6 linked regions of the Ovis aries genome follow. The protein of the gene in region 1 interacts with the protein of each later gene in a pairwise test. Links are inferred from orthologs where the notes say so. Each region holds a gene or a part of one and is shown in the gene's direction. Other genes may lie near its edges.

Region 1 (5,152 bases):
AGGGAACAGACTGTAGACATGCCTCTGGGGGTCGCTGCCCCTGCTGCCAGTCCATCTCAGAGGGTTCTCGGACTGGCCAGTCCCCACCTCCAGAGGGTTCAGAGCAAACCTGGGGGCTGTGATTTCCCTGCTGAGATAGGAGTGGTTGGAGAGCCAGCACCTGGGAACTCTGGTCCTCCTCCCCATCCACCAAAGGGTGGGGGTGGGCAGGGCAGAGGGCTGTCCCAATGTGGCACTCCTGAGTTTTGCTGGAGTGACTAGAGGTGGCAATGTTTCCACACACGCTGGGGAACTGGAGTAGAGAGGGCGAGGACCAGGATCCTGAGGCTGGGGCCCATGTGTCCTGGGAGACTCAGCCCACATTTTCCAGTTGCCTGTTCACCCCTCATCCCATGGTCCACCAACCAGGATGGGCAGCCCAGGCTCAGGAGCCTCGGAGGGGTACAGGCACCCAGCCACATACTTCACTAGGGTTTCCTGCAGGCAAACCCGGAGCCCAGGGCCATGCCGCTGGGCAGCTGCAGGGAGCCAGGTGGCTCAGGCTGCTGCTAGGAGAGGATTCCCAGGACTCCATGGGACCCTGGCCACATGGGGCTGAGCGGCTGGTGCAGCCAGGATGCCTATGGGATCCCCTTGAGGGTGAGACTGCAGCCCGCCCCCCACCCAGGAATAGGATGCAGGCCTGGGCTCCTTGGTCTGTGCTGGGTTCATGCGGCTCCATGCCCAGTGGGGTGGTGATGGTTTGAGGGTTGCTCGGGGGACATGGCAGGGCTGCAGGCCTGGGTGAGAACACCCCTCCATCCACCCTCTTTGTGACCCTCACTGTGCCTGGCCCACCCTGCCAGTCCGGCATGGAGGCCGGTGAGCCCCTCCTCCCCAGCCCTTATCAGGGTCCCACAGAACCTGTTCCCCTTTGCCCTGCTCTAGGGAGCAAGGAGGAGGTTTGTGCTCCAGGGAGGGGGCTGTGCGGGGCAGGGCCCGCACCCTATCTGGTCTTCCTCTTTGTCCCTTCCACCTTGGAGCCTTTCTGTCCTTGGGACCCTGCTTTGCCCACCAGGGTTACAGTCCTCCCCATCTTCTCTCACTGGTGGGTTTGGGGACACTGGGGCCCTTGAGCCTGGGCTCTGACCAGGTTTGAGGGCAGCCCATCCAGAGAAGGAGGACCCCCATGTGGCCAATGGCTTTTACTTGAGCCTGGAGCCACCCGGGGGCCCCCAGACCAGGAGCTGGGGCTCCCTAGGCTAGCTGGGCACACACCTAGCAGGGAGGGGGAAGACAGGGTGCCAAGCTCAGAGAAGGGTGATTTGGTCACCCCTGATGACTACTTGTGGACTCTGGTGACTGGGCCACAGTGCCTCGGGGATGCAGTTCAAATGGGAAGACTGACCTTACTGTGTGTGGCTTCCCCTCCGGATCTCTTGGAGGCTAAGGCTGAGGGACGAGACAGAACCTTCAAGGCCCAAGGACAGGAGCCGCTGCATGGCCTGCAGAGGGCCTCCTGCCCAGCTGGACCAGGCACAGGGATGGCCTGGGCCCATTTGGGCTCCAGGGTTCTGAGAACATCCAGGTAATCCACTCCAGAACCCAGGTCCAGCCCTTCACTAGGCGCCCCTGGGTCCGTGGCTGCCCCACGTCCCTGTAGTGGGTGCTGCCCTCCCCTCCCCAGGCAGCACTGACTGTCATCTGGAACCTTCTGCTTTCAGAGGCCCCCCTGGCTCCCAGCCCAGGAACCAGGAGCATAACCCAAGCATAACAGGGAGCATAACCCACCCCTGCCCCTCCCCCACTAAGGTCCTAGAGCCAGAACCAGCCCTCTGCTGCCTTGGGAGAGTTCCTTCTGCTCTAGTCCCTCCCTTTGTGCCAAGAGACCCCACCCTGTCCTGCAGAAGATAGTGAGAACCACTGCCCCCACTGTGGTGGCCCTGTTGCTGAGGCCTCCGCCAGGGGCCCCGTGACACAGTCCCGCTGCAGCGAGCATGTGACACGGGCTGCCACGCTGGCCCCTTCCAGAAAGTGGCGGGCCCCAGCGGCCCCTGGCTGCTCCCCCACCCAGGGCATCTGGGCGGGCAGGACTGTTACTGCCCTACTGTTGGAGTAAAGGCCACTGCTGTCCCCCAGCAAGACACAGGGGTCAGGAGGCTGGGGCGGGCTGGCTGGGCACATTCCAGAACTGACCGCCCAGGGCCATCACTCGTCACAACTCGTCGGGGCTGCTGTCTTCGTTATGGGGCTTGAGGACAGGACCAAGTGCTGGTGCTATGGCCCAGAGCCAAGCCACTGGGCAGCTGGCAGCCGTCCCCCTCGGGGGCAACATGGACCCCACTCTCTCTGCAACCCCCGGGGCCAGGGCACTGACAGCGCCCTGTCCTGGGGAGGCCAGGACCACATGGATGGGCAGATCCTGGGCCAGCTGCGCCCCCTGGCAGAGGAGGAGGAGGAAGATGGTGCTGCTCTGGCACCGAGGCCTGCCTTCCCCGGGATGGGCTCAGAGGAGCTGCGGCTGGCCTCCTTCTACGACTGGCCGCTGAGTGCCGTGGTACCGCCGGAGTTGCTGGCCGCTGCGGGCTTCTTCCACACTGGTGAGTCCCGGGGGTCCCCACGGCCCTTCTACACCTGCTCCCTGCCCTACAGTCTCTTTTGTGCTTCAGACCTGGGGAGACGCCAGAACAGCATGGAGCAGTTAGACCTGTGCTGGGGGGACAGTGTTGGTGTCAGAGGTGCCAGGAGGAGGAACGGGAGGTGTGGGGTATCCACTGGTCCCGGGGTCCAGGGAGAGCTCTCAGAGGGCTGGTGGTGTGGGATGGCTGTAGCAGCCCCTGATCTGAGGTCTCTGCTCCAAATCTGTTGATTGTAGGGGATGAGGCAGGGGTGACAGCCACAGGGGTAGAGAGATGAGGTCCCCGTTCCCGTTTAAGGAGTTGTGAGCTTCTAAAACCAAGCCTGGAAGCACACAGCCCCCCTTCTTTCCATCACTGGGAATCCATCCTAAGAGGAGGCACCTGGGGCAGAAGTGCAGGGTGGGGACACCAGGGTTTCCCCCACCTCCCCTTCCCTAACACGCACCTGGATCCTGGCAAGTGCCCCAAGCATGGTACCCCCCCATCCCACCTTTGAGAAATGGAGTGAATGTGAATTCCAAGGAGAATGCCAGGCAAAGTGATGGCGAAGGCCAGTGGGAGCCCCCAAGGCTCACAAATAACCCCAGAGAGCCCTGCCCTAGAAGGAAAGGCCACCTGGGAGCCCTGACCCCAGCCCAGGGGGGAAGCCCCCAGCCATACAAGGGACCCAGTGTGGTCAAGACCAGTGTCTCGGCTCCACCCCAGGCCAGCAGGACAAGGTGAGGTGCTTCTTCTGCTACGGGGGTCTGCAGAGCTGGGAGCGAGGCGACGACCCCTGGACCGAGCATGCCAGATGGTTCCCCAGGTACCACCTCCCCTCCCCAGTCCCAGGGTGTCTCGGGGAACCAGGATGGGGGGACTCTCTGGGGACAGCACTTCTAGTTCTCCCTTGATGTTCAAGACTCTGTCTCCAAAACAGCTTCCCAGAAAGCCCACCACCCGGCGGGAAGCAGGGGTCCCCTGGCTCAACCTGGACAGTGCGGGGTCCTCTGACAGCCCAAGCCTCTAGGCTGTCATGTCTGAATCCGCTTTCCTCAGGTGTGAGTTCCTGCTCCGGACAAAAGGAAGGGACTTTGTCTGCAGGGTTCAGGAGTCCTGTTGCTGCCCACCGGGCTCCTGGGTGAGTCCTTCCTGCCCTTAGGGCTTCAGGGGGTGGTGGTGAGGGGCCTGCCCCAGCCCTGCTCCTTCACCTGCTCGGGGCACAGGGTTTCTCTGACTTCTTCCAGGACCGGTCGGAGGAACCGGAAGATGTGGGTCCTGCCACCCCCTCAGGTGAGCCGGGATGCGAGGCCTGTGTTGGCTCCCTTGGGCACCTTGGCCCGCACCACGGCCGGCTCCACTGGGTGTGCTGCCTGCAGACAGCAGGAGAGTGAAGGTTGCTTGGCTGGGCCTGCGGGTGTGCTGCTTGGGCTTGCTTCACTGGGGGGCTTCACACAGGCATTGCGCGTGTGTCCCAGGCTCTGGAGAGGCCCCTGCTACCCCTGAACTGGCTGCCGTGGGCATGGCCAGCCCTGAGAAGGGCAGAGGGACATAGAGGGACAGGCTGCCATCAGCCAACCATGCCTGAGAGCTGACCGGTCGCTGTCCCCATCACACAGAGTCCGGCCCTCTGCCCTCTGTCGGTGCCCAGGGTCTGAGGGGCTCCAGGCTTGGGTCCATACTGCGCTACCTGAGCTTCAGTGCCCTGAGCTGTGAAGTGGGCCTGGTGCCAACCTCACCTGGGATCAAACAAGAGTCTGTGTGCCACCCTGGGAGCAGTACCCGGCTCTTAGTCAGCTTCTGTGATCAGGTTTACGTCTTCCCTGTGCGTGGCACCTCTGACAAAGGCCCTGGGAACACAACTCTGGACACAGAGGCAGCGGCCGTGATGGCGCCAGGGCCCCTTGTAATGACGACGTGGCCCTGCTGACGGGCCACAGTGGCCGGCCGCTGTCTCTGCTGGGACCCTGAGGCCGCAGCCCCTGCCTGCCCTTGGCCCAGCACCCCTCGTTCTGCCTTGCAGATGTGGGGGGCGGCCAGGGGTGGCCAGCATGGAGCCAGTGCCCAGCAGTCCAGGCCGTGCTTCGCATGGGCTTCAGGCCGGGCCAAGTGCAAGGGCTGCTGCAGCGCAAGTACCACCAGATGGCGCTGACCGGCATGTCCACGTCGCAACTGGTAGCCGACCTGCTCCAGGAAGAGGACGGGGGCCGGGTGGTGGGGGCCAGAGGTATGTTCCTGTCTCTGGGCACAGCCCACCTCTCCTTCCTTATTCCCTCTGGGCACAGATGCCCCTGCTGCCCCCATGGTGCCGGGCACAGAGCATCCATCACCACTGCACAAGGGGCTGAACAGGCAGAGTTCTGGTGGAAAGTAGACTCTGGGACACTGGTGTGCTGTGGGCGGGGGAGCTGGGGCTAGACACTGCCTGTGGCCTGTTGGCTGGGGGCTGGGCCTCAGGTCCCCTGGGAGCCTCACGTCTGTTCTAACTGCCCACAGCTCCTGCCCTGCCAGGGCCTGAGCTGCTCACACCCAGAATAGAGGCTCAGGTGGAGAGT
Region 2 (5,240 bases), on another chromosome or scaffold:
AGGAAAGGACAAACCGGGTAGGGGGAGCAAAGGAAGTGACATTTGAGCCAAGCTTTGAGGGAAGATGAACAGTTTATTAGATGGAGAAGAGGAGGAAGGCAGTGTGTTATCACTACGCCCTGTTCTATGACAAGAGGAATGGTGTGGCTGGGTCATAACAAGGCGAGTCTAAGGGTTTGATGTCCGGTTGTAGTTTGGATGAAGGACTGGGTGTTAGGAGGGCAGTTTCTGTCAGGAGGAGGAGCCTCACCTGCTTCGCACCTGGGCTGGCTCCACATCAAAGTAGGGTCTCAGGATGTCGATGTTGGCATACAAGCTGAAGGCTCTGGAGGCTTGTCTCTTCCCTGCCTGCCACATCTATAGCAAGGAAGATGGGTGGGGTGAAAGGGTGCTGTCAAACTCTTGGCTCTATGTTACTTATTTTTTATCTGATTTCAAAATGGTGTGAACTGGACAACCTGGGGTGGACTTCACCAACTCCAGAACCAGAGGTCTCCTCGGTATACTTTTCCACCTGTCAGGGAGCCAACTGTGCTTACCTGATCAGCCACCTGCCGGCTCAGCTGTCCCTTAAAGCCCTTCATCCCCAGGAACTCCCCATCCTCTTCTTCAGCAGCAGCTGCATCAGCATCCACTTCTTCCTCACGCAGGCGCTGATGCAGCTCACCCATGTCCTCGAAGCTGGAGCCTGAGGTATCATCCATGTTCTCCATGTCAATCACTGCTGAGCCCCCACCCTGTGAAGACAACAGACCCTAGAGTGCAGGACCTTTCTGCTTCGTCCAGTTGAGTCCTTCTCCGTTCACCACAAGGTTTGGGGCTAGGGGACTTGAAATCGCCACAGATGACGCCACTCTCTTCTCCTCATTTGGTCTCAGAACCCCTGCTTGTTTGGTGCTCTGTTCTAGTCTGGGGAACCTAGTCCCTGTCTTCCATACACGGCTTTTTCCTACCTTCCCTACCAAGGCCCCAAAGGGCTGCAAAGTGCCCATTTCCTTCATCTCTCCCAACCCCAAAACAAGGCTATGCGCACCAAGTGTGGTTTTGGCTAGTGAATCCCATCCACCCCCAAGCCCACTCCCGCCATGCCTGTCTCCGACTGACTTTCCTAAACTTGTGGAAAGCAAGAGCAATTGGGCCCAGATACCTAAGGCCCCTGGCTGGAGTACCAGTCTGGAGCTTTAAGACCAGCACTAGCCCCACTGCCTTTCTTGTGCACGAAGACTCAAAAGAAGATAAAAAGTGTTGCAAATGGACCAGACTTCCAGGCTCTGAGGGAGAGTTCAGGGCGGCTGCCGGCCCAGGGGCTGCGGGCAGCCGGAGCCGTGGGGCCATTACCTGGATGTTTTCTTCGAACCCTCCCCATTCCGGGCCGGTCCCGTTTCGGGCGCCGCCAGCCGGCGCCGCCGGAGTTGCCATGTCCCTCGAGGGCTCCCGTCGCTGAAGCCCGTGCTTGTCCCGCGCGCGGAGGAGGAGTGGGAGAGATGCGGGCCTGAGAAAGGGACAGGTCTAGGGACAAGAAAGAAAGGTACTATGGGTCGGAATGCAAAAAAAGGAGAAACCCGGATGTTTGGCTCAAACCAACTTCCGGTAGCTGGGGACGTGGACGGAGGCAAGGCACAGTCTCGCGATATTTAAGATTCTAGGAGGTGCGTTGCTACAGAAACGGAGGCGGACGACTAGTGCGCACGCATCAGTTAGGTACTCTGGTCACGTGGAGGAGTTGAAGATGGCGGCGGCCCAGGCTGTGGAGGAAATGAGGACCCGCGTGGTTCTAGGGGAGTTTGGGGTTCGCAATGTAAGTCTTGTGGCCTTCAGCTCGGGAGCAGAGTGAATCAGGGATGAGTTGGCGTCAGAGTGGGGACGGGCTTGGCCTCGCTGCCCCTTCGCAGACATTCTCGTCTCTCTTTGCTCTAGGTTCATACCACTGACTTTCCCGGTAACTATTGCGGCTACGATGATGCCTGGGACCAGGACCGCTTTGAGAAGGTAGGTGGAGCTGGAACTGTGGGATCGGACTTTGTGATATGAGCAACCTGTGCCTTAGAAGCTGTCCTTGTAATTTCCAAGGCGCAGCAGAAAAGGGCAGCTTGCAGCAAGGGGCAGAGGGCGGTAGCTGGAAGCGGGGTTGTAGCTTCCCCCACCGGTAGTCCTAACTACGACCACAGGAGCCAGCAGTTAGGGCTAGAGTCCCTAGTCCTTGTCTGCCTAGTCAAGAACGAATTCAGGCGAGGAGGCAGAAGGTACAGAGTAAAGTACGAAGTTGATTGAAAAGAGAAGTACATGTAGAAAGGCACACGGGCAGGACCCTCCCATGGGATGCACACTCACCTCTTAGCCAAGATGGATCTGGAAGTGAAGGCTTCTGGGAAGAGCAAGACTCGTTATGGCCTGAATTATCCTCTGACTTTTGACCCCAAGTAGCCTTTCTGCACTTGTGATGTATCTTCCTTATCCTAAAAAGGGGGAAGCGGAGATCCCTTAATCCTTACTCAGACGAGGGATTTCGCCTTGCTTTGTTCTTGCTATAATTATTTCTTCAAGATATTTACTAGAGACAAAGACTGTTGACTCTGTTTCTGTTCTCTCTTCGTTTCTGGAGGGCAAACAGGAGGCTGATAGGAAATTCCTCAGCTGGAGCCCGTCTGTCTCCTGCCATACTTGTGATGTGGGACATGCTAAAGTAAAGGTCCAGGTTCTTATTCTACCTGTCCAAAGTGCAAAAAAATGTCACACAGAGAAACTGAGGTGTAGAGAGAACAAAGAAGCAATTTATTAAGGAGAAGGGAAAGCAGGCACTCACAGAAGAATACGAGTGTCCACACGAGTGAGGAGACCACCTGAGGGTCTTTCTAGCCCCACTCCATTATTTTAATTCCTTGAATGGGTGCAGGTTTCTTTGTTGTTGTTCTTCAGTTGCTCAGTTGGGTCTGACTTTGTGACCCCAGGGAATGCAGCACGACAAGCTTCCCTGTCGTTCAGTATCTCCTGGAGTTTGCTCAAACTCATGTCCATTGAGTCAGTGATACCATCCAACCATCTCATCCTCTGTCACCCACTTCTCCTCTTGCCCTCAATCTTTCCCAGCATCACTCGTTTGCAGTGAGTCAGCTCTTGGCATTGCGTGGCCAAAGTATTGGAGCTTCAGCTTCAGCCTCAGTCCTTCAATGAATGTTCAGGGTTTATTTCTTCTAGGATTGACTGGTTTGATCATTTGATCTTCCTTGTTGTCTAAGGAACTCTCAAGAGTCTTCTCCAGCACCACAATTCGAAGGCATCAATTCTTTGGCACTCAGCTTTCTCTCACATCCATGCACGGCTACTGGAAAAACCATAGCTGTGACTATATGGACCTTTGTCAGCAAAGTGATGTCTCTGCTTTTTAATGTGCTGTCTAGCTTTGTCATAGCTTTTCTTCCAAGGAGCAAGTGTCTTTCAAGGCTGCAGTCACCGTCTGCAGTAACTTTGGAGCCCAAGAAAATGAAGTCTGTCACTGTTACCATTTTTTCCCCGTTTGTCTGTCATGAAATGATGGTTCAGATGCCATGATCTTAGTTTTTTGAATGTTGAGTTTTAAGCCAGCTTTTTCACTCTTCTCTTTCACTTTCATCAAGAGGCTGTTTAGTTCCTCTTCGGTTTCTGCCGTTAGGATCGTGTCACCTACGTATCTGAGGTTATTGATATTTCTCCCAGCAATCTTGACTGCAGCTTGTGCTTCATCTAGTACTCTGCATATAAGTTAAATAAGCAGGGTGACAATACACAGCCTTGACGTCCTCCTTCCCCAATTTTGAACCAGTCCATTGTTCCATCTCCAGTTCTGACTGTTGCTTCTGGATCTGCATACAGGTTTTTCAGGAGGCAGGCAATGTGGTCTGGTATTCTCATCTCTTTAATTTTCCACAGTTGTGATCCACACAGTCAAAGGCTTTAGCTTACTCATTGAAGCAGAAGTAAATGTTTTTCTGGACTTCTCTTGCTTTTTCTATGATCCAGAGGATGTTGGCAATTTGGCCTCTAGTTCCTCTGCCTTTTCTAAATCCAGCTTGAACATCTGGAAGTTCTTGGTTCACATACCATTGAAGCCTAGCTTGGGGAATTTTGAGCATAATTTTGCTGGCATGTGAAACGACTGCAGTTGTGCAGTAGTTTGGACATTGTTTGGCATTGCCTTTCTTTGGGATTGGAATGAAAACTGACCTTTTCCAGTCTTGTGGTCACTGCTTAGTTTTTCCAAATTTGCTGGCATATTGAGTGCTGTACTTTAACAGCATCATCTTTTAGGCTTTTAAATAGTTCAACTGGAATTCCATCACCTCCACTAGCCTTGCTCATAGTAATGCTTCTTAAGGCCCACTTGACTTATTTGATTAGGGACGGTCTATTTATTATTGGGAGGATGGGTGGTTATAACAGCTTCTCTTGTGCATCTGTCTCCTAAAGCCACCACACTAAGAGCTTTCCCCCCTTTAATTTTCCCTTGGAGTGAAACACCAGGTTGTATAGAACCTTTATTGCGCATGCTTGGCCAAGCTCTGTTGGGTTACTAGTCAGGGTTTCCGATATAGGTGTCACAAAGTTTAATCAAGGTTTAATTCCTATTCCTGATGCCACTTCTCCATGCTTCATCTCATTCAGTGCAAAACAAGGAGAGGTGGCTTTGCCTTTTGCCTAATGTCTGTGTATGATGAGGCCAACATAAACAAATGACTCCAGTGTAATGTGGCAAAGGCAGCTGAAAGTAAAAAAAGATGATGGCGGTAGGGTGGAGGTCGGGATTTTTTTGGGGGGTATCCCACACAGACACTTAATCCAGAATGGGAATGGGGAGCAGAGGTATGGAAGATTTCCTGAAGGAGGTGACATCTAAGTTCGGCCTTGAACAAGGAGCAGAGGCTGAGGAGTGTGTAAGCAGCTCAGTGGTAGGCAAGATTGAAGTGCATTTTAGGCACCAGAGGTGATAGGGAGCTCTGGAAGAGTTCTTAAGCAAGTAGGATCATATCTGCAAGCTTAGAGGTAGAGGATTTGAGGCTTGTCCTGTGGGGTGTGCACAGTTTGTGACAGTTGCATAGGGAAGTTGAGGCTGAAGGCAGAAATGAAGAGTGTGATGATGAAATAGAGCACAGGGGAGACGAAAGGTAAATTTGGCGGTTGCTTGGATATGGGCTGTAGGGGGGAGTGTAAAATTACTGCTCTGATGGGTGGTGGTCATTTAGCGATAAGAAATCAGTCTGGGGAAG
Region 3 (4,898 bases), on another chromosome or scaffold:
GAAGCTCCAACTTGGCTCCTGTGCCCTTTAGACAAGTTCTCAGTAGTCCTTTCTCCAGATTCATCTTGTACATTTCCTGCCCTAGACTGAAGATCATTAATTTTCTAAGGAGCTTTGGTTCCTACGTTTATGATGATGTGTTATCTAGCTTATTGAGCACTAGTGGTGGGAGGGCTTTGAGGGTGTCTAGAAGTGCCTTTCTCTGCTCCTGTGAGGGGCTTCTGTCCTTTCTCTGGCCTTTCCTCCTCTTCCAGATCTAGTGTGGACAGTGGGCGCGGGAGAACTGAGACCAGCCTGAACCTGCTTTCAGAGCCCTTATTTCAGGACTCTGAGGGCAGCCCTAACACTGAGGGTTCAGAGGTGATTTGGGGAAAACTTTTGGTTGCTCTGAAAATTTTTTTATCCTGTTTTGTCTAAATCCCCTGTCTGCAGGTGAACCAGTGTGTTATTGGCACAGCCCAGGCCAACAAGAAATGAAGATGGATCTAGATTGTGTGTGTGTATGTGTGAGACACACGGGGGGGGGGGGAGGGGGGTAGTGGGCGCTGATACCTGGGCCTATCAAATAAAGAAGAGAATTTTTTGTTGTTTTTAAATAAAGGTTTTATTAGCGGTTGTCCAATAAGGGGGGAGCTGTGGCTCTTCCATTCTGCCAAACGTCTGTGTCTCACGGGGACAGGGCTCCGGCTTTTCTAACGGGTCACTCCAGAGTCAGGGTGGCCCCCGCCCTGCTCCCGTCCCTATCCACGTCCGGGGGGTTGCGCGCACCAGGTGTCCAGTCACTAGTTCCGCTTCCTCCGGCACAGGCCACCCTCGCCCGGGGCAGGAACTCTTGAGTGCGGAAAGGTGGGAGTCCGGGGCGGGGCCGGCGCGTCCGCCCACAAGCTGCGGGCTCTCTCCTCCCGCTCTTTTCCTTCCCTTTCGAACCGCCGGGGCTAGCTCCGCCCGCCGCCATTGGCTGGCTCTCGGCGGCGTCACCGCCTCGGTCCGAGCTCTTCTAGTCGGTGCACCCGCCTCGGCCGCGCGGGGCGGGGCGCATAGGCTAACTCCCTCGCGCCAAGCGCCGAGGGCCGCCGCCCCGTCAGAGGGCTGGGTCTTCCCAGGTGCCGCGCGCGCGGGAGGGGTCGCGCGTGCGCAGAGGCGCGGCGACAGTGGGCGGGGTGGGGGCATCTAACTCCGGGGGGGCGGGGCCGGGGCAAAGGCGGGAGGAGGCGGAGCCCGCGGAGGCCGGGGCAAAGGCGGGAGGAGGCGGAGCCCGCGGGGCCGGGGCGGGGCGGGGGCCATGGGACGGGTGAATGGAGGGCGGGGTCGTGAACTGGAGCGCGGGGCGGGGCCCGGAGTGACCCTGCGGGGCCGGGGGCAGTTAACGGATGTGGCGCGGGGCGGCGGCCCGGCCGGCGGCCTAGCGGGGGATTCCCTCCTGCCCCGAGGGCAGGCCTCTCTCCGGAGGAAGGGGCTGCGGGGATTCCCTCTCCCGCCGGGTCCGCGAGCCCGCCCGCCCCATCCACGGAGACGCTCCCACTCGCTCCGCGCCCTCCAGGCCCGCTGGCGGTGAGGGAGGTGGGGTGAGGAGGTGCCCGCCCCCCCGGCTCCTCCTTCCCCCCGCCCTCCCCTCCCTCCACCCTCCCCCCGAGCAGGTTTGTCCCTCCCCTCCCCTCCCCTCCTTCCCCCCGCCGCCTCCTCCTGCCGCTGCCGCTGCTTTGGCTGCTGCGTCATACGCCCCAGAGCCGCCGGGACGGAGGGGCTGGGCCTGGGGACCCCCCGGTCTCTGCCTGCACGCCCCCCCGACGCCCAGCCGTGCCCTCCCCGCGCGGGGGTTTCACCTCAGTCTCCCACGTCTGCCTCTGCCCGGCTCCCGGCGGCCCCAGCTGTCACTGGTAAGGAGGCGGCGGGAGGCGCCCGTGGGGGGGCAGGGAGCCGGGGGTCGGCGCGCAGGGCGCGGGCGGGAGAGCCGCGCCGCCCGGGCGGCGGGTCGGGCTGGGCCGACTCAAGCCCCCTCTCCCACTCGCCGTCCTGGGGAGAAGAGACCCGGACTGGGACACGCCCCCCTCCCGGGGCACTCAGGGAAGTTCTCTAACCCGGGGGCAGGGAGCCCCGAATTTGAGGGTGACCTGACATAACCTAGCACCAAGATGATTGTTCTGAATGAGACACGGGGGCCCCGGAGGCAACCTTTTCCACTCGAAAACATCTCCAGAAAAAGCTCCCAAAACACGTCTCTGGGAAACAGCACCCCAATTGTAATACCTCTATAAACAGCGGTAGAAGGTGACAGTAGAAACTGAGTGGCAACCTTTGCCTCTGCAACCATCCTTTTTGCTAAAATCTCAAGGCCGGGATACAACGTCCCAGGGGAGCTCTGGCAGCTGGGAAACTAGAGAACTAGGTTGGTGGGGTGGGGGGACGGTGGGGAGAAGAGAACCACTGGTGACTGTTGGGAGAGCTGGAGTCAGGAAGGCCCAAGGGGTGCCCAGGGGTTTCCTACCCAGGTGTCTCAGGGAAATGGAGGCTGGGCACACCTGCTCAAGCCTTTGACAGAAAAACAGGCAAAGAAAATGGGGGCTAGTTCCTCAATATTGGTAACTTTCTCCTACCATCTCACTTCTAACTAGGCCCCCCCAGGATGCAATGGCACAGCCCCCCCGGCTGAGCCGCTCTGGTGCCCCCCCACTTTGGGACCCAGCTTCTCCTGCTCCCACCTCAGGCCCCCGGCCTCGACTTTGGGAGGGTCAAGATGTGCTGGCCAGATGGACAGATGGGCTGCTATACTTGGGGACCATCAAAAAGGTATGACCTCTGACCTGTCACCTTTTCTCATTCCCCTTATCTAGTCTGATTCCTGTTCCATCTTCTGTGCTCACCCATTCCAGGTGGACAGTGCTCGGGAGGTGTGTTTGGTTCAGTTTGAGGATGATTCCCAGTTTCTGGTTCTATGGAAAGACATTAGCCCTGGTGAGAAGCCTGAGAATGGATCCAAGGGAAAACAAACCTGGCATGGGGGACAGAAAGGGGCTGGAGGACAGGCCCTCTGACACTCTGTTCTCTCACAGCGGCCCTCCCTGGGGAGGAACTCCTCTGCTGTGTATGTCGCTCTGAGACTGTGGTCCCTGGGAACCGGCTGGTCAGCTGTGAGAAGTGTCGCCATGGTGGGTGAGAGGGCAGGACACCTGAATGGTCTAGCTTGCCCTAGGTCTACCAGGGTGCTTCTGATCCTTCTCTCCAGCTCTGGTCCTTATACTGTCTGTCCTGGTCTGAGTCCCCAAGCCACTGCTCTGAGCAGTCTCCACAAGCCTGTAACCTCACTCCCTGCCAGCACAGGGAGGGGCAGCCTTGGGATGGGATGCATGAGCTCTGCGGGCAGAGGGTGTGAGTGAGCAAAAGTCTCTCAGTTGTGTCTGACTCTTTGCTACCCCATGAAAAGTACAGTCCATGGAATTCTCCAGGCCAGGATACTAGAGTGGGTAGTCTTTCCCTTTTCGAGGGAATCTTCCCCACCCAGGGATCAAACCCAGGTTCCCCACATTGCAGGCAGAATTTTTACTAGCTGAGCCACAAGGGAAGCCCAAGCACAAGAATACTGGAGTGTGTAGCCTATACCTTTTCCAGGGGATCTTCCTGACCCAGAAGTTGAACCAGGGTCTCCTGCATTGCAGGTGTTCTTTACCAACTGAGCTATCAAGGAAGTCCCAGATGCAGGCAGAGGGTAGTTCCAGTACGGCTTTTTCTAACCATTTGACCTTGGGCAAGTCCCTAAACTTCTAAGAATCACAGCTGCCTCACCTGCTTTTAAAATAAAGATAATACACCCACCTTACCAGGACCATGGTCAAGAACAAAATGAGATGGGGTTAAGACTCTTGTCCCAATACCTAGCGCGCACAGGTACGCAATGCAATAAGTGGTCTACTGTCAATATTCTCATTATTCAGCTTATCACCAGGACTGCCACGTTCCAAGGGCTCCAGCCCCTGGAGAGGGAGAGGGCGCATCCTGGGTCTGCCGCCAGTGCGTCTTTGCCATCGCCACCAAGGTAAGGGCCCCTCCCTGTGGGACCTCCAACTCTCAGCCTCTCCTGGACCCTTCCTTCCTCCACCCCTGAGGCCACCTGTCTGTTCCACCTGCAGAGGGGGGGTGCACTGAAGAAGGGCCCCTACGCCCGGGCCATGCTGGGCATGAAGCTCTCCCTGCCATATGGACTGAAGGGGTTGGACTGGGACGCTGGACATCTGAGCAACCGCCAGCAGAGCTACTGTTACTGTGGTGGCCCTGGGGAGTGAGTAGTGAGGGGCGGGGGGCTAGGGAACAAGTGATGGGGGTGGGAACAAAGGAGAATGGCAGGGTGGTAGGAGTGCTGAAGGGGGCGGGAGAGTGGTGAGCAGGGTTTGGGGCGGTTAAGGAGGGTGTGTCTGGGGGGTCACTGGTCCCGTTTCACTTCAGGTGGAACCTGAAGATGCTGCAGTGCCGGAGCTGCCTGCAGTGGTTCCACGAGGCCTGCACCCAGTGTCTGAGCAAGCCCCTCCTGTACGGGGACAGGTGAGCCTGGGCAGACCCTCCAGGAGCTCTGCCCCCCATCCCAGACCAGGTTGTCTTCCTGAGCTCTGAAGCCTTGCCTACTGGTTAGCCCCATCCTTGCTCGGAACACCCCCACCCCCACCCCCGTGGGCAGGTGTAGTTTCCTGTAAAAGGTGTATTCTCTCCCTCTTGCCTACGTCCAGGTTCTATGAGTTTGAGTGCTGTGTGTGTCGGGGGGGCCCTGAGAAGGTCCGGAGGCTACAGCTTCGCTGGTGAGCTGGATATGGGGCACGATCTCAGCATCACTCCTCTCTCGGCACCCTCAGTTTCTCACTTTACAGGCCCCAGCCCCCTACCTGGGGGACACCCCTGCCTGCCCCTGGCTT
Region 4 (4,445 bases), on another chromosome or scaffold:
TTGCAGTTATCCATGGTGTTGCATGTACCTCCTTCCTTTTTAAGCTCTGTCGTGTCCCTTTGTATAGTTGTGTCACAGTTGCCTTACCCATCCACTTGCTGGTGGATGTTTGGGTTGTTTCTAGTTTGGGGAGTATGAATAAGGCTTTGATGATCATTCATGGCCAAGTTGTTTGGTGCTCACTGTGCTCATTTCTCTTGGCTCTGTACCTGGGAGTAGAGTTGCTGGTCGGAGAGTAGGTGTGTGTTCAACCTTATTGGAAACTTCTTTTTTTAAAAAAAAAAAAGTCTTAAAAAACTATTTATTTATTTTTGGCTGTGCTGGGTCTTCGCTGCTGTGCGTGGCCTTTCTCTAGTCGAGGCGAGTAGGGGCTGCTCTTGTTGTGGCGCAACGGGCTTCTCATTGCAGGGGCTGCTCTTGTGGTGGAGCAGGGCTCTAGGTGCACAGTCGTCAGTCATTGTGGTGCATCCCAGGGATAAAACCTGTGTCCCCTGCGTTGGCAAGTGGATCCTTATCCACTGTACCACCAGGGAAAGCCCTGGAAACTTCTCAATAGTTCCCCAAGGTGGCTGTGCCACTTAACTTCACCAGCAGTCCCCAGGAGTTCCTGTGTTCCTGCTCTTCTGCGTTTCTATGTTTCTGTGGGAGGTGTCCTCACAGGGTCCCTTGTCCCTTCCCTGTTGGACCCTGACATTCACGTTTTCCCTCTTTCTCTCTCCAGGTCCTCAGGACAGAGCCAAGGGAAATGCCGATCTGGTGAGTCTTCATGTCATTTGGAGCCGATTGTGTTGGCTTTCTGCTCTTCCGCTCTCTGCTTCCCAGGTCCTTCCTGCAGCTGTGTCAGGAGCCCCAGGAGCTCAGCCCAGCTCAGTCCTGAACCTCCTATAGCACCCTGACCCTGGTACAGCTGTCCTGAAGCAGATCGTCTAACCCTGCCCTTTCCTCATCTGTGAAGTTGGGTTAGATCTAAGTAGGGGTCAGTGTGAGAATCGGCTGTGGCACCTATCCTGGACCAAGTCACTCCCTGTCTCAGTCACAGTATTTATTGTGTGACTTCCCTGTGTCAGCCTGGACTTTGCGCTAGGACACCTGGGAACCAACCACTCAAGTTTCTAGCCCTCATGGAGCCATCAGCCTAGTGAGACTAGTCACACAAAGAAATATATAAGTGTAAATATTGTGAGTGTGAGTGAGTGAAGCCGCTCAGTCATGCCCGAATCTTTGCAACCGTGGGGACTGTAGTCCACCAGGCTCCTCCATCCATGGGATTCTTCAGGCAAGAATACTGGAGTGGGTTGCCATTTCCTTCTCCAGGGGATCTTCCCCACCCGGGGATGGAACCCAGGTCTCCCGCATTGCAGGCAGACGCTTTAACCTCTGAGCCACCAGGAACAGCAAAAAAAACCCAGGCTGCTGTGAGAGAGAATTACTAGAGAAACATTGAACCTTGAGAGGAAGTGGCCTCAGACTCTTCAAGGGTGGCTTGGGCAGGAGTCTGCCAGCAGAGCTGATCACGCGATTGTCAGTACTCTCCAGGACTGGGCGACCTGTTGGTCCTTTGGAGGTCAGTGTCTAGGGGAGCTGGATTTCTCAGCTAGCGGTTCCATCCTGAGTACTCTGAGGGGAGCTAATCTTCTGTCCCAGGTTTAGCTGATCATCCATCACACAGCTGCGTGTGTGTGGTGTGGATGCCAGACACCCGCTTCAGAGGGAGGCAGACTGCGGGCTCTGTCCCATCTCTCCAGACTGCCCTCCCCGTGGGTGAGACCCAGGGGGTCGCCTTCTCTCCCGAGGAGTGCAGCGAGGCCCTGGTTTACGCTGGTCCCTCTGCTTGGGCAGGCCTATGTCCTGAACGCAGACCCCTGCGGCCACTGCCTGATCATCAACAACGTGAACTTCTGCCGTGAGTCGGGGCTCATGACCCGCACGGGCTCCAACATCGACTGTGAGAGGATGCAGCGGCGCTTCCACCTGCTGCAGTTGGCGGTGGAGGTGAGATGTGACCTGACTGCCAAGGTACGGGCCCTACGCACGGACAGAAATGGGGGCTCATGGGCTAGTGTCCTAGAGAGGGCCCCTGAAAGCCAGCGACTCCCCGAGACGAGCCCTTCAGTCTGTAGGACCGCAAGAGGCAGTGTGGCTCACTGGTTACCAGCGAAAGCTCCAGACTCGGAGACCCGGGTTGAGGACTGACTCCCCAACTCCCTGTGTGACTCCCGACCCTGAGCTTCTCTATCTATAAATCGAGACCCATGCTCATGTCCTACGGTTGGGTTAGGTAAGTGTTAGTCGCTCAGTCATGTCTGACTCTTTGTGACTCCATGGACTGTAGCCCACCAGGCTCCTCTGCCCATGGAATTCTCCAGGCAAGAGTGCTGGAGTGGGTTGCCATTTCCTCCTCCAGGGTCTTCCCGACCCAGAGGTCGAATCCAGGTCTCCTGTATTGCAGGGAGATTCTTTACCGTCTGAGCCACCAGGGACATTGTAGGAGTAGACAGAGTGCCCAGCCCAGCATCTCTTCCCCTGTCTTCTCCTGTGATCACTGTGACTGTCCTTACTTCACGACTGGCCCTGGGAGCAGGGGACTGGCCGAGGATGAGGACCTGGTCCATCAGTGGTCGGGCTCACCCCCGGCCCTCTCTTGTAGCAAATGGTCCAGGCTTTGACGCAGCTGGCGCGGCGGGACCACGGCGCTCTGGACTGCTGCGTGGTGGTCATCCTCTCTCACGGCTGTCAGGTTGGTGGGCTCACCTTCTCTAGCAGGCGCCCAGGAAGGCTGCCCCGAGAGGCCCTGCAGGAGCCTCGTCCCTTCCTGTGTCCAAGACCCCCTGGCCTTTGTGGGAAGAGCCACAGGGCCCTGTCCACCTCCTGCTGTTTTCTCAGAAGCCACTTGGCCCTCTGAGGGGTTGGGTGCTCCTCCTGGGTGGGAGGGCTGCGACCCTGGGAGAAACCATCTGGGAGAGTCAGGAAGAGGTAAGCTGGATTTTGTTCTGAGCCGGGCACAGCTTACAAGAGCTTCCAGCTCCTGTCTTGGTCCTGCTGAATGTTGTTCCGGGCCCTTTGGTGCTGGCTATGAGTTTGGGACGCTGGGACCCACTCTGGCCTTGACCACTAATGTGCTGGGTCATGGTGGCCAAGACTCTTCCCCCTTTCTGGGCCTCAGTGTCCTCATCTTTTGAGTTGAAGGGCTGGACAGAGCAGAGGTAACAACCCCAGTGGATTGTACAGTGTTTTCAAAACTGGCGACTGTAGCACGGAAGTCATGATTTTCAGCTTGTCCTGAAAAACCACAAAGGTCTGACCCATCAGGCCCTTATCCTCAAAGAGCAAAATTCTGGCCTGTGGCTGGGCTGGGGCCACCCCTTTGGTCCTTTCATTCACAGTGTGGCCTCTGGACAGCAGCATGGGCATCGCCTGGCAGCTCAGGAGAATGTAGGTTCTCATTCAGAGCCTGTACCTTAACAAGACCCTTGTAAACACAAAGTTTAAGAGGAATTGTTCTAGCATAGTCATTCTCAGTTTAGCTGTAACAGAGGTACCTGAAGGGCTAGATTTCTGGTCCCCACTACCCAGGTTTCTGATTTGGGAAAATTTGCATGTCTTGTAAGTTTCCAGGTGATGCTGATGCTGCTGGTCCAGGGACCACACTTTGAGAACAACCAGTCTAGAGGAAGCTGGCCAGTGTTCTTGAGTTAGGCTATCTGGTGCTTATAGGCATGTGAGTTTGAGACCCTTGGAATTGAGGCTGCCCAGGACCAACCTGCTGTGTTTCACTCAGCCTTGTGCCCCTGGTGGAACCTTCTAAATGCTTGGTCCCCACAAAGCCTCTGCACAAACAGGCCATTGGATTCCTACCGTAACTTCTTGGGTTTGTCACCAGAGTTCTTGGTCTTCTAGGCCAGCCACCGCCAGTTCCCAGGGGCTGTTTATGGCACAGACGGATGTCCTGTGTCCGTTGAGAGAATTGTGAACACTTTCAATGGTACTGGCTGCCCCAGCTTGGGAGGGAAGCCCAAGCTCTTCTTCATCCAGGCCTGTGGTGGAGGTAAGCCAGTCCTCAGCGTCGCTGCCGATGAGGCTAGTGGGAAAGTAGAGGTCGATCCAGGCATCCAGGGGCTCCCAAACATGGTCACTGCTGTCCCAAAGTGGCACCTCCATCTAGTTGGAGTAGCCTGAACCCTGTCTAACTTTTAGAGGTTTGCATCTCATGATGCTATAGCATCAGGGGATCATTCAACTGTGGCCACTTCAACCTCAGACTTGGCGAAAACAAACAACACAGAGGAAAGAGGAAACTTCTTTCATTTTCCTTACCTCCTGTCATTCTCCTGACCTCCATTAACCTGCCTCCCTCCCACTGTTACAGAGAAAGGGAAGCTGCTGCTGGATTAACTGTTGGAATTCTCAAAGGCTTAGGTATTAGGGAGTCAGTAATTTTTAAGGAT
Region 5 (4,445 bases), on another chromosome or scaffold:
TTGTAAAAGCAGGAACTTTTTCTCTCTGAAGCCTTGTGGCTTGGGGATTTTAAAATCTTAAGTAGTATGGAAGAGACACATTTCCGTAACTGTACCCAGTAGATCTATGTTTTCACCTCTAAAGCTTTTTGTAAAGTTTTCAGTTTTTTTCTCCCCATGGTTTCTTGATCTATAATTATTTCTGCCATCTTCCTATTATGTTCATATGATATAAGTAGAACTGGGCAGCAGGAGTTTCCTATTTGGGCATTTTGACTAGTGATCTCTTACTAAAATACTAACAAATTTTGAGTTAATAATTGCCAACTCAAAGAACCCTTTAAGGCTTTGTAACCAGGAAGAGTAGAAGAATTGTATAGCATTGTTACTGAGGAGAAGTCTAAATCTGGTACACTATAATAGTTTCTTTTTTTGAAATTTATTCATTTGAGTGTCTTGATTACAAGGGGCAATATTTCTATAGCTTCTTAAACTCTTAAAATATGGCTTTTCCCCCCTCCTCTCTCCTTTTTTCTGTTTGTTGATATTTTCCAGCAATGGTGATTGTTCCCACTAGAGAACTTGCTCTACAGGTCAGTCAAATTTGCATCCAGGTCAGCAAACACATGGGAGGGGCCAAAGTGATGGCAACCACAGGAGGAACCAATTTACGGGATGACATAATGAGGCTTGATGATACAGGTAAGAAATGATTGGATACAAGCTGGCTTGCTGTCTGTAATTTGACACACAAGTGTTTCAGTAATTTATTAAAATTGTTTTTAAAATAGGGAACAAACATTGCAGTAGAAAAATGAATAAAGGAAATGACCATTTCAGTCAAGAAGAAAAAAATTATTTTAGTCATTGGAAGGATATTTAACCTTACTAGTAATTTTTTAAATTGCATATAAAAACAGTAAATTGATATTGTACCTATCTGATTGACAAGATTAATTAAGATTGGAAAGGCTAATTAGTAATCCAAAATCACTGCAGATGGTGATTGCAGCCATGAAATTAAAAGACGCTTACTCCTTGGAAGAAAAGTTATGACCAACCTAGATAGCATATTCAAAAGCAGAGACATTACTTTGTCGACTAAGGTCCGTCTAGTCAAGGCTATGGTTTTTCCAGTGGTCATGTATGGATGTGAGAGTTGGACTGTGAAGAAGGCTGAGCGCCGAAGAATTGATGCTTTTGTACTGTGGTGTTGGAGAAGACTCTTGAGAGTCCCTTGGATTGCAAGGAGATCCAACCAATCCATTCTGAAGGAGATCAGCCCTGGGATTTCTTTGGAAGGAATGATGCTAAAGCTGAAACTCCAATACTTTGGCCACCTCATGCTAAGAGTTGACTCATTGGAAAAGACTGATGCTGGGAGGGATTGGGGGCAGGAGAAGGGGATGACAGAGGATGAGATGGCTGGATGGCATCACTGACTCGATGGACATGAGTTTGAGTGAACTCCAGGAGTTGGTGATGGACAGGGAGGCCTGGCGTGCTGCAATTCATGGGGTCACCAAGAGTCGGACACGACTGAGTGACTGAACTGAACTGAATATGCATTTGTGAAGAAATTTGTTGTCTTGCAACATAGGGGTATAGATTGATACAATCTCTATGGTGGGCAATTTGGCATTATGTTTCAAAATTATACATGTATGTTTTTAATGATCTTTTTTTGAAGAAATGATTGGACAAATGCAAGGTTGTCCACTACAGTGTGGTTTGTAGTACCGAAAAACTGGAACAATATCAGGGAAATTTGGCTAAATATACTGGGGTATAGACTGAATGGAATGCCACATAGCCATTAAAGAGTGCAGCTGATCTGTATTCATTTTCATGAAGAGTTCTCCATGATAACATTATTTAGTGAAAAAAAGAAAACAGCAAGAGTTGAAATCCATTTAGTTATACATTGAATTTTAGTCAGGATTTTATATATGATTGTTACTTGATTAGTTTAATTACTATATTCTTTATACTGCCTTGTTAATTAAAAATGATCATCTTACTTGATCCTGTTACAGTCTTCTGCAGACCATTGATCTATTAGAGGCAAGCTGCTGTATCACGACTGAAGTGACTTAGCAGCAGCAGCTATATCAAAAGTTCGGCATACTTTTTGTTTTTCCCTGGGGGTTTCCCTCAGACAAAAAACTATGTTCCTTATTTGGAACAGGTGAATTGGAAAGCTGTAGCCCACTGCATGCAGAGGTGAAACTAACTGGTATTCTCTAGCCAACTGAAGATGAGATGGAAATCCATATTCTAAAATACATCTTGGCCTCTTTGTATTATTCCTACAGCAGTGTTTCTGATACACTATGTATGTGATAAACCTTTACTGTATCCTTTTTGCCCCAACTAAAATTAATGAAAATACATGTTTTCTAATCTTGTGTAGTGCATGTGGTGATAGCTACCCCTGGAAGAATCCTGGATCTTATCAAGAAAGGCGTAGCAAAAGTTGATCATGTCCAGATGATAGTATTGGATGAGGTAACATTTTTTTCATTTGGAAACATACCATTCTGTACTGATTTGGCTTTGTTTATAACTGCCAATGAATGAAGGATAACCTCTTTGTGTTTAAGACCTTCTAGTAAATTCATTACTCTTGTTGGTTTGTTCAAAATAACTTGCTTCTAAAACATGTTTTGCCTTTTAAAAGCAATAGGTGATAGGTGTTTATAGGAATGATTCAGCCTTGTGTCTTTTTCTTAGGGAAGTCAGATAGTTTATTTTTATTTTGCACTGAGAAGTCATTGAATAACCTCAAAGCCAAGGCCATTCTACATCTGTCTTCATTCTGTGATTGATCTTAAAAAGCATGTTAAAAAAAAGGCATCTTAAAAACCCCTCATTTAACATACTCAATTTGGTATTGTTTGGTTTTTTGTCTCTGTTATATGTGTTCTCTCACCAGACTATAAGTGCCTTTTGAGAACTTAGCTCTGCATTCTTGGGACCTAGCAAGCAAGTGTTTTATATGTATATTCAATCAGTGTTGATGTTTTGGGTTTTTAAATTTTTAATTGAAAGATAATAGCTTCACAGTGTTACATTGTTTTTGCTGTACATCAGGCTCCAGGCTTCTCTCCTTGAGCACCCCCACACCCCCCAGTGTTGATGTTTTGAAATGAAGTTATTTTCCTATTTGGTCTGTTTTAAGATAACTGGATCCGTTTCCTCTTGGTCTAATTTGAAACAGGTTTTTATCTTTGAGTAATGAGAGAGCACAGTTATTAGTGACTGTGTTAGCACTAAGTGCTTTACATGTTTTTTCATTGAATTTTTACAACAATCCTATAAGGTAGTTATCCTAGAAAGTAATTCCTACAATAAGAAGACATCTTGATTTTTAAATTGTGGAAACTGAAATAGAAGTTAAGAAACCTCCCAACATAGATAATAGCGAAGGAAGCAAGTTTTTTGTTTGTGTGTGTGAGGGGGTGAAGTAGAAAAGGATAGCTTTTATTATTTGCCAGGCAAAGGGAAACACACCCTCCTTCTGCCTCAAAAAACTGTATCCCTGACAAGTTTTAAATACAGGTAGTTTAATGATGTAGCCTGTACTTCTAACTATTATACCATAATGTCTCTTTAATGGAAATCACATTAAAATTTTTTATGAGAATAAGGATTATGTCTGTCTAGGATTTTTTTTCCCTTAGATCAGTATTACAGACTTTCCCTTTTTTTGTATCACTGAATGTGTCTTGGTGCCTTTGGACTATATAGTGTTTACAGCCAGGAACATTCTGTGAACTCTCTTGCTGGAATGATTGATTCCTTATTAACAAAAAACCATAGACATGATTTCATTGTGTTTAAGATCATCTTCTCTTTGTACTGCAGGCAGATAAGTTGCTGTCACAGGATTTTGTGCAGATAATGGAGGATATTATTCTCACGCTACCTAAAAACAGACAGATTTTATTATATTCTGCTACTTTCCCTCTTAGTGTACAGAAGTTCATGGTGAGTATAAATCTGTACTTAGAAGCAGTACCTTCCTGTTGGCCATGAGTATACCTTTATCCATAATTATATTACTAGTGTATATTTTATGCTGGTTTCAAGTTTTAAGATACCGAAGTATTTTGATTTTTATTTGTTCATTAAGCTGGTGTCTGACATAGCCATTGATGCTAGATAAATTGATTGCAGCATAATCTTATATTTAAAGTACAAAATAGTAATAACTTAGCTGTATATCTGGACATTAGATCTCCCATTTTATGGTAATGACAGATTATATATTTTAAAGAGAGCCGCATCCCTTCAATTAAGAGTTTATCAGACAGACATGTATGAGGATATATTTTGAGTTAAAGTTTATTTAAAGAAATAAACTCTGCTTTAACTATGATACTTTTTTTTTTTCCCCTTCAGAATTCCCATTTGCAGAAACCCTATGAGATTAACCTGATGGAGGAACTAACTTTGAAGGGAGT
Region 6 (4,904 bases), on another chromosome or scaffold:
TTCTCTTCCCCAAAGAAATTAGCATACCCTTCTAATTAGTTCCCCTGTGATTTGAGTGTTTTAAATTTCTTTGAAGCGCCAAGATTAATATTGGGGACTGAATTAAAGTGATAAAGGTAAAGTATTCAAAAAGTTTTTTCACACATTGAAGTAATTATTTTTAATGTACTGGCACAAATACACATAGCATTGCAACACTTATACATTATACCATTTTATTGTGCCATGGCCCACATGTATAGTTGGTTCGCCTTAGGACCACTAGGGGGCTCTGCTGGAAGGGTTTTTATAGTTCTTCCGTTTAGGGGAATGTTTCCAGATGCTTTAGAATTCTAAACTCTTAAAACTTGGAGGAGATCATCTCATCCAGCTTCCTTATCTTGCAGAAGAGGAAACCAAGGTTGAAGAGAGAGAGCTGGTATGGAAGGGGGCTGGAATTTAAAATCCCCTCTTGGTTCCTGCGGCAGTTCAAGAAATTCTTTTCTTGCCATGTGCCTCCACTGAATGACTCATACCCAGGGGCTTATTTTTTTTTACTGCCACAATTTTGGTAATTTTTGCTAAGACGGTGTATTCGTGATATTTTCCTAACAGGATGCTTTACTGATTAGTTAGGTGAAAGAAATGCATGAAATATAAACTTCTAAATAAATATTTATTACAAAATGTTTTCTACTCAAAGCATCCCTTAGTATCAAAACCATATTACTGGAAGCCCTAAACCACTTTTCAATTGCCTTTCAAATTTACTTCTCACTTAAAACATTTACTCTTTACTCATTTATTCATTCAATATTCATTGAGTGCCTACTAGCACTAGCCACTGTTACTCTAGGCTTACAGAAGTAAAGCTGCCCTTCCCCCCCAAGAGGGATAGGTTTCTCCAGTTTTCCCTATATATTCAGTTACTGAACATATCTTAGTTCAGTGGTTTTCATACTGTGGTCTCTGAACCAGCAGCACCTGGGAACTTGCTAAAAATGCAAATTAGGCCCACCTTACACTCTTTTGTTTTTTCTTAAGCTCTCCAGGGATCCTGATGTACATTCAAGTTTTAAAGCTATGGTTTTAGTTCCACGGCTTGTTATTATCTAAGTAGGCCAAAGATCAACATCTGGCTTCTAAACTCATCTCAGGCATCTCCACTGAGACCCGGTCTCAATTACAACTGAGATACAACAATGACCATACTTAATTTAATGATTTGTTGTACCTGGAAAGATCCTGGGATGACTGCAGTAATAGAACTGTAACGGCTGCAGGACAAAAACGAACCGCAGTGGCTTTTCAGAACCAACAGAAAATGGGCCAGACCGAGTTCCCGGACAGTGTTTTCCGACACTAGACACAGCCGGATACATTAAGCCCGTGGTCTGGCTGAGTCAGGGCGGCGCTCCAAGCTTAGAGGGGCCGCGTGAACCCGTCAGGTTGGACTCGAACCTTCGGCTAGAGGCGAAGGTCTGGAAGCCTCCACCGTACCACCTACGTTCATACAGGGGCGGAGGCGCCGGAGACGACCCGTGAGGCCCGGGAAGCCCTGGCCCGCGCGGAAGCCGCACCCTCCTGGCTCCAGACGCCGACAGGGCGGAGCCACGCGGCCGCAGCTCAGGCAGAGACGCGCCGCACAGCGCGGCGCAGGTTCGCGGCTAAGGCGTATGGGGCTACAACGGGAGCGGCTGCGCCGCCGGGCCGGGTCAGCGTCGTGCGCATGCGCGGACCCGGCGCCATTTTGGTGGCCGGGCGCGGAGGTGATTCCACACTGAAGATAGTGCGGCGGCCGGGGTGGCAGTGGCAGCGTTCGTGTGCTCGGGTGTGAATCGCCGGGGGAGGAGGCGGTGGAGGAAGAGGTGGCGGCGGTGGCGGTGGTCGTAGCGGTGGCGGAGGAGGCGGGTACGAATCAGCTGCGGGCGGAGACATGGCCAACATCGCGGTGCAGCGAATCAAGCGGGAGTTCAAGGAGGTGCTGAAGAGCGAGGAGGTCAGAAATGAACTCCCGGACGTCCCCCACATCAGCCCAGGGCGGGAGGGCCCTTCCGGTGGCAATCCCAATATCCCTGGTAACCCCCGGTTGGCCTTCTTTGCGGCCGCCCTTCTGCCTGTGGGGAAGCAGCAGTCTCCCCCCTCCTTCCGCCGCCTTCCCCTCCCCTCCCCGGGCCCTGGGATGGACGGTCTCGCGGGCGGGGGGTCTGGGGAGGAATAAGGTTTAAGGGGCAGATGGAGAAAGGGCGCTTATCGTCGGGTGTGAGCTCTAGAGAGCGCCCCACGGCAGTGGCAACAGCTGGAAGTGTGGCTGTAGGGTGGGGAGGTAGCAGGCCGAGCCTGAGAAAACCCGGGAAGTGGGTTGGGGGAAGGGGAAAGGTGGTAACTGGATCCGGAGAGCCGCGTCGCTCAAAGGCCCACACTTTTCAGGGTATTCTGGGTTATGGCCGGTCTGGCTGCCACCCTCCTTTCCTTACCGAAGGAGTGATTGATGAGAGAAGGATGTTCGGAGTTAACTCCCTCTCGGTTGGGTGTTGGGAGAAAAGAGAAGACATAATGGGGTACTAGCTTATTTGAGTGGGCGATAAGGGAATTTTCACCAGAGATAGAAAATTAATTCCGTATTAGACTATTATCTCATTTCCACTTACTCCGACATTCTAGGCGTCTTTTTCGATTGACATCTGAAGCTTTTTGACTAGGTAAAGGCACGTTCGGTATATTAAATACGTTTAAATATTTTTAGCTAAGATAAGGAAAAAATAGTGGAGTGTATGAGTAGCTTATTTCAAAATACTGTTTACAAGTTATAGATGAGAGAGTCTGTCCTAAGACAATGCCTCTGTGACACTGTTGTGTTGTGCCATTTGTGCCATGAAACTTCATTATGATGTCCCCATAGTTAGTTCTTACTTTTGAAAAAGTGTCCTACTTAAAAACATGAGATTTCGGATTAATACATTGTTATGTTTCTTTATTAAGTAGGTTTATTCCAACATATATCTGAAATGATGAAAAATTTTTGTCTCAAGCTACTACTCTTCAGTCCTGTAGAAATTTTAGGTACGCTGATATTGGCCACATTTGTTAATATATTTTAAATGTTTCGGTAATTTGACTCAAAATTATGAAAGTATAGTACATTTTTCACACCCATAATCAACAGGAATGCTAGTTTGTTTTTCCTCCTTGGACTCAACAAAGATTAAAAATACTGAATGGTTATTTTCAAGATGTCAAATATCGTTATCGAATATATTATTGCTATTTGTGCTTTTCTCTTATTTGTGAAATTCAGCATTCTAAGTATGTGATGAGTTATTGACAAGTCTGATAGCAAGCACTTGAACTTTATTTGTGCCACTGAATCTGAAGTGATTTTGTGTCTTTACAGATAGACGTGGAGAAGATTCTTTAAAATTATTTAAAAATGCCAAATCCTAGCAGATTTATTGAATATAATAGTATATAAGTAATGATTGGTTTTACAGAGCATGTGTATAAACTCTGACCTCTGTATTTGTTCAAGTGCCAAAACTCTGAATGGAAGGATGACTTTGTGTTTTTGTGGTACAGTGCAGAAAAAGAATCATAAATACCTGCACTGTGATATATAGTGAGACAGTGATTCTAAATTTTTCTTTAGTAAGAAAAGATTTTCCAGGATACTTGACATATATCTTCCTAATGAAAGTTTGCAGCTAGTATTATTGCCAGTAGCCTAGAACATTTCTTCTGTAGTACGGTTGTACAAGCCTGAAACTTAGTATAAGACTTTAATGCTTTATTTTCTATTACTTAAAAGTATAAGTAATTCGTATAGTCTCTGCATTATGTGAAGTGACTTTTCACCATGATATTCTTACTACTTGAAGTTTAAAAGAAATCTTGTATTGCTCTAGTAATGCATATTGTTAAAATAATACAGCTTTTTATATATGAGCAATGAATGATGAAACCTTGTTTCAAGTAAGTGATGTAGTGTTTCAGAGGAAGAAAACAAAATCCAAACAGGAAAATTATTTTTTTAAGAACAGTGTCTGTATAAATCTGGAATGAAACTTCTTCCAGAAAGAACATTTAGGAAATGTAATTCAACTAATTACAGATAATTTAATATTGGAATTTATAACCAATAAATAGCTTTATTTTCACCAATATATTTTATTTCATTGATACTTAAGTCCAATTCTATAGGTGTATTATGTTGATTATTTTCAGTACGTTGAAGTACAGTCCACATGTTTCCTTTTTATGTATGTAAATGCAGTATTTGAGTGGCTGGTATAATTAAGTATTTCCTCATGTCATCTATGTAAATCTTCATTTTACCAAAGTTTATTTCATATTTTTGTGTTTACTAAGAATCTTGATTGATTTTAAGGATTTCCCCTCCCCCTTTTAAGTGTCTTTGTAAAGATAGCTTACATCTGGCGGTAAGAAGTTGTAAATGGCCACTGTTGGAGTGTGTTGTTAATTAAAATACAGCCTCAAGATAAATTAAATGTGGAAAGTACAGGATAGAATCAGTGAGAAGAGGCCACCATTAGTGTCAGAAGTAGGGAAGTATGTGTATTTGTATAGGTGAAAGGATTAAGGAGAAATTGGTAACATTGTTTCTCTGTAGAAGAATTGGGTGTCTGGGGCAACAGGGATCAAAAGAATCCTTTTGAATTTTGAATCATGCTAATATGTTATTTACTAAAAATAAATAAGCCATGTAGGCCTTTTTTCCATGAAACTGTGTTTGAAAATCTGTCACTTGTCTGAGATATTAATTTATTTAAATCTGTAGAAGTAATATTTCAAAGTTGCAAGGAATAGAAAATTGATTTACAGTACACTTAATAGGTGTATTTTTAGTTGAATTACATAAGTGAATTGTAGCTTATGAGGACGGAGTAAAGCTATAATCTGTACTCATA

Evidence for each region.
Region 2: the proteins of BIRC7 (region 1) and POLR1C interact in binary tests that used the Homo sapiens proteins (3 or more experiments, as listed by UniProt). The two-hybrid records come from large-scale screens. The link is inferred for Ovis aries from reciprocal best matches to the Homo sapiens genes BIRC7 and POLR1C.
Region 3: the proteins of BIRC7 (region 1) and PHF1 interact in binary tests that used the Homo sapiens proteins (3 or more experiments, as listed by UniProt). The two-hybrid records come from large-scale screens. The link is inferred for Ovis aries from reciprocal best matches to the Homo sapiens genes BIRC7 and PHF1.
Region 4: the proteins of BIRC7 (region 1) and CASP9 interact in binary tests that used the Homo sapiens proteins (3 or more experiments, as listed by UniProt). The two-hybrid records come from large-scale screens. The link is inferred for Ovis aries from reciprocal best matches to the Homo sapiens genes BIRC7 and CASP9.
Region 5: the proteins of BIRC7 (region 1) and DDX6 interact in a two-hybrid assay, tested with the Homo sapiens proteins (3 studies listed by BioGRID and IntAct). The two-hybrid records come from large-scale screens. The link is inferred for Ovis aries from reciprocal best matches to the Homo sapiens genes BIRC7 and DDX6.
Region 6: the proteins of BIRC7 (region 1) and UBE2K interact in binary tests that used the Homo sapiens proteins (3 or more experiments, as listed by UniProt). The link is inferred for Ovis aries from reciprocal best matches to the Homo sapiens genes BIRC7 and UBE2K.

The regions. Positions count from the first base shown.
Region 1 is NC_056066.1:54,020,975-54,026,126, reverse strand, and holds the start of BIRC7 (baculoviral IAP repeat-containing protein 7), read left to right. Parts: upstream 1-2,049; 5' UTR 2,050-2,224; coding exon 2,225-2,579; intron 2,580-3,323; coding exon 3,324-3,423; intron 3,424-3,656; coding exon 3,657-3,738; intron 3,739-3,844; coding exon 3,845-3,890; intron 3,891-4,620; coding exon 4,621-4,824; intron 4,825-5,093; coding exon 5,094-5,152.
Region 2 is NC_056073.1:17,057,780-17,063,019, forward strand, and holds the start of POLR1C (DNA-directed RNA polymerases I and III subunit RPAC1), read left to right. Parts: upstream 1-1,708; 5' UTR 1,709-1,729; coding exon 1,730-1,798; intron 1,799-1,917; coding exon 1,918-1,989; intron 1,990-5,240. Other genes in the region: protein YIPF3, read right to left, coding at 251-357, 540-737, 1,339-1,419. UniProt on the Homo sapiens protein: DNA-dependent RNA polymerase catalyzes the transcription of DNA into RNA using the four ribonucleoside triphosphates as substrates.
Region 3 is NC_056073.1:7,741,368-7,746,265, forward strand, and holds the start of PHF1 (PHD finger protein 1), read left to right. Parts: upstream 1-1,361; 5' UTR 1,362-1,877; intron 1,878-2,612; 5' UTR 2,613-2,628; coding exon 2,629-2,787; intron 2,788-2,870; coding exon 2,871-2,952; intron 2,953-3,050; coding exon 3,051-3,146; intron 3,147-3,929; coding exon 3,930-4,030; intron 4,031-4,124; coding exon 4,125-4,273; intron 4,274-4,437; coding exon 4,438-4,533; intron 4,534-4,715; coding exon 4,716-4,784; intron 4,785-4,898. UniProt on the Homo sapiens protein: Polycomb group (PcG) that specifically binds histone H3 trimethylated at 'Lys-36' (H3K36me3) and recruits the PRC2 complex. Involved in DNA damage response and is recruited at double-strand breaks (DSBs).
Region 4 is NC_056065.1:51,318,353-51,322,797, forward strand, and holds part of CASP9 (caspase-9), read left to right. Parts: intron 1-721; coding exon 722-756; intron 757-1,839; coding exon 1,840-2,016; intron 2,017-2,647; coding exon 2,648-2,737; intron 2,738-3,897; coding exon 3,898-4,045; intron 4,046-4,445. UniProt on the Homo sapiens protein: Involved in the activation cascade of caspases responsible for apoptosis execution. Binding of caspase-9 to Apaf-1 leads to activation of the protease which then cleaves and activates effector caspases caspase-3 (CASP3) or caspase-7 (CASP7).
Region 5 is NC_056068.1:29,108,530-29,112,974, reverse strand, and holds part of DDX6 (probable ATP-dependent RNA helicase DDX6), read left to right. Parts: intron 1-534; coding exon 535-681; intron 682-2,392; coding exon 2,393-2,487; intron 2,488-3,846; coding exon 3,847-3,969; intron 3,970-4,383; coding exon 4,384-4,445.
Region 6 is NC_056059.1:59,504,967-59,509,870, forward strand, and holds the start of UBE2K (ubiquitin-conjugating enzyme E2 K), read left to right. Parts: upstream 1-1,726; 5' UTR 1,727-1,915; coding exon 1,916-1,978; intron 1,979-2,964; exon of another isoform or gene 2,965-3,042; intron 3,043-4,904. UniProt on the Homo sapiens protein: Accepts ubiquitin from the E1 complex and catalyzes its covalent attachment to other proteins. In vitro, in the presence or in the absence of BRCA1-BARD1 E3 ubiquitin-protein ligase complex, catalyzes the synthesis of 'Lys-48'-linked polyubiquitin chains.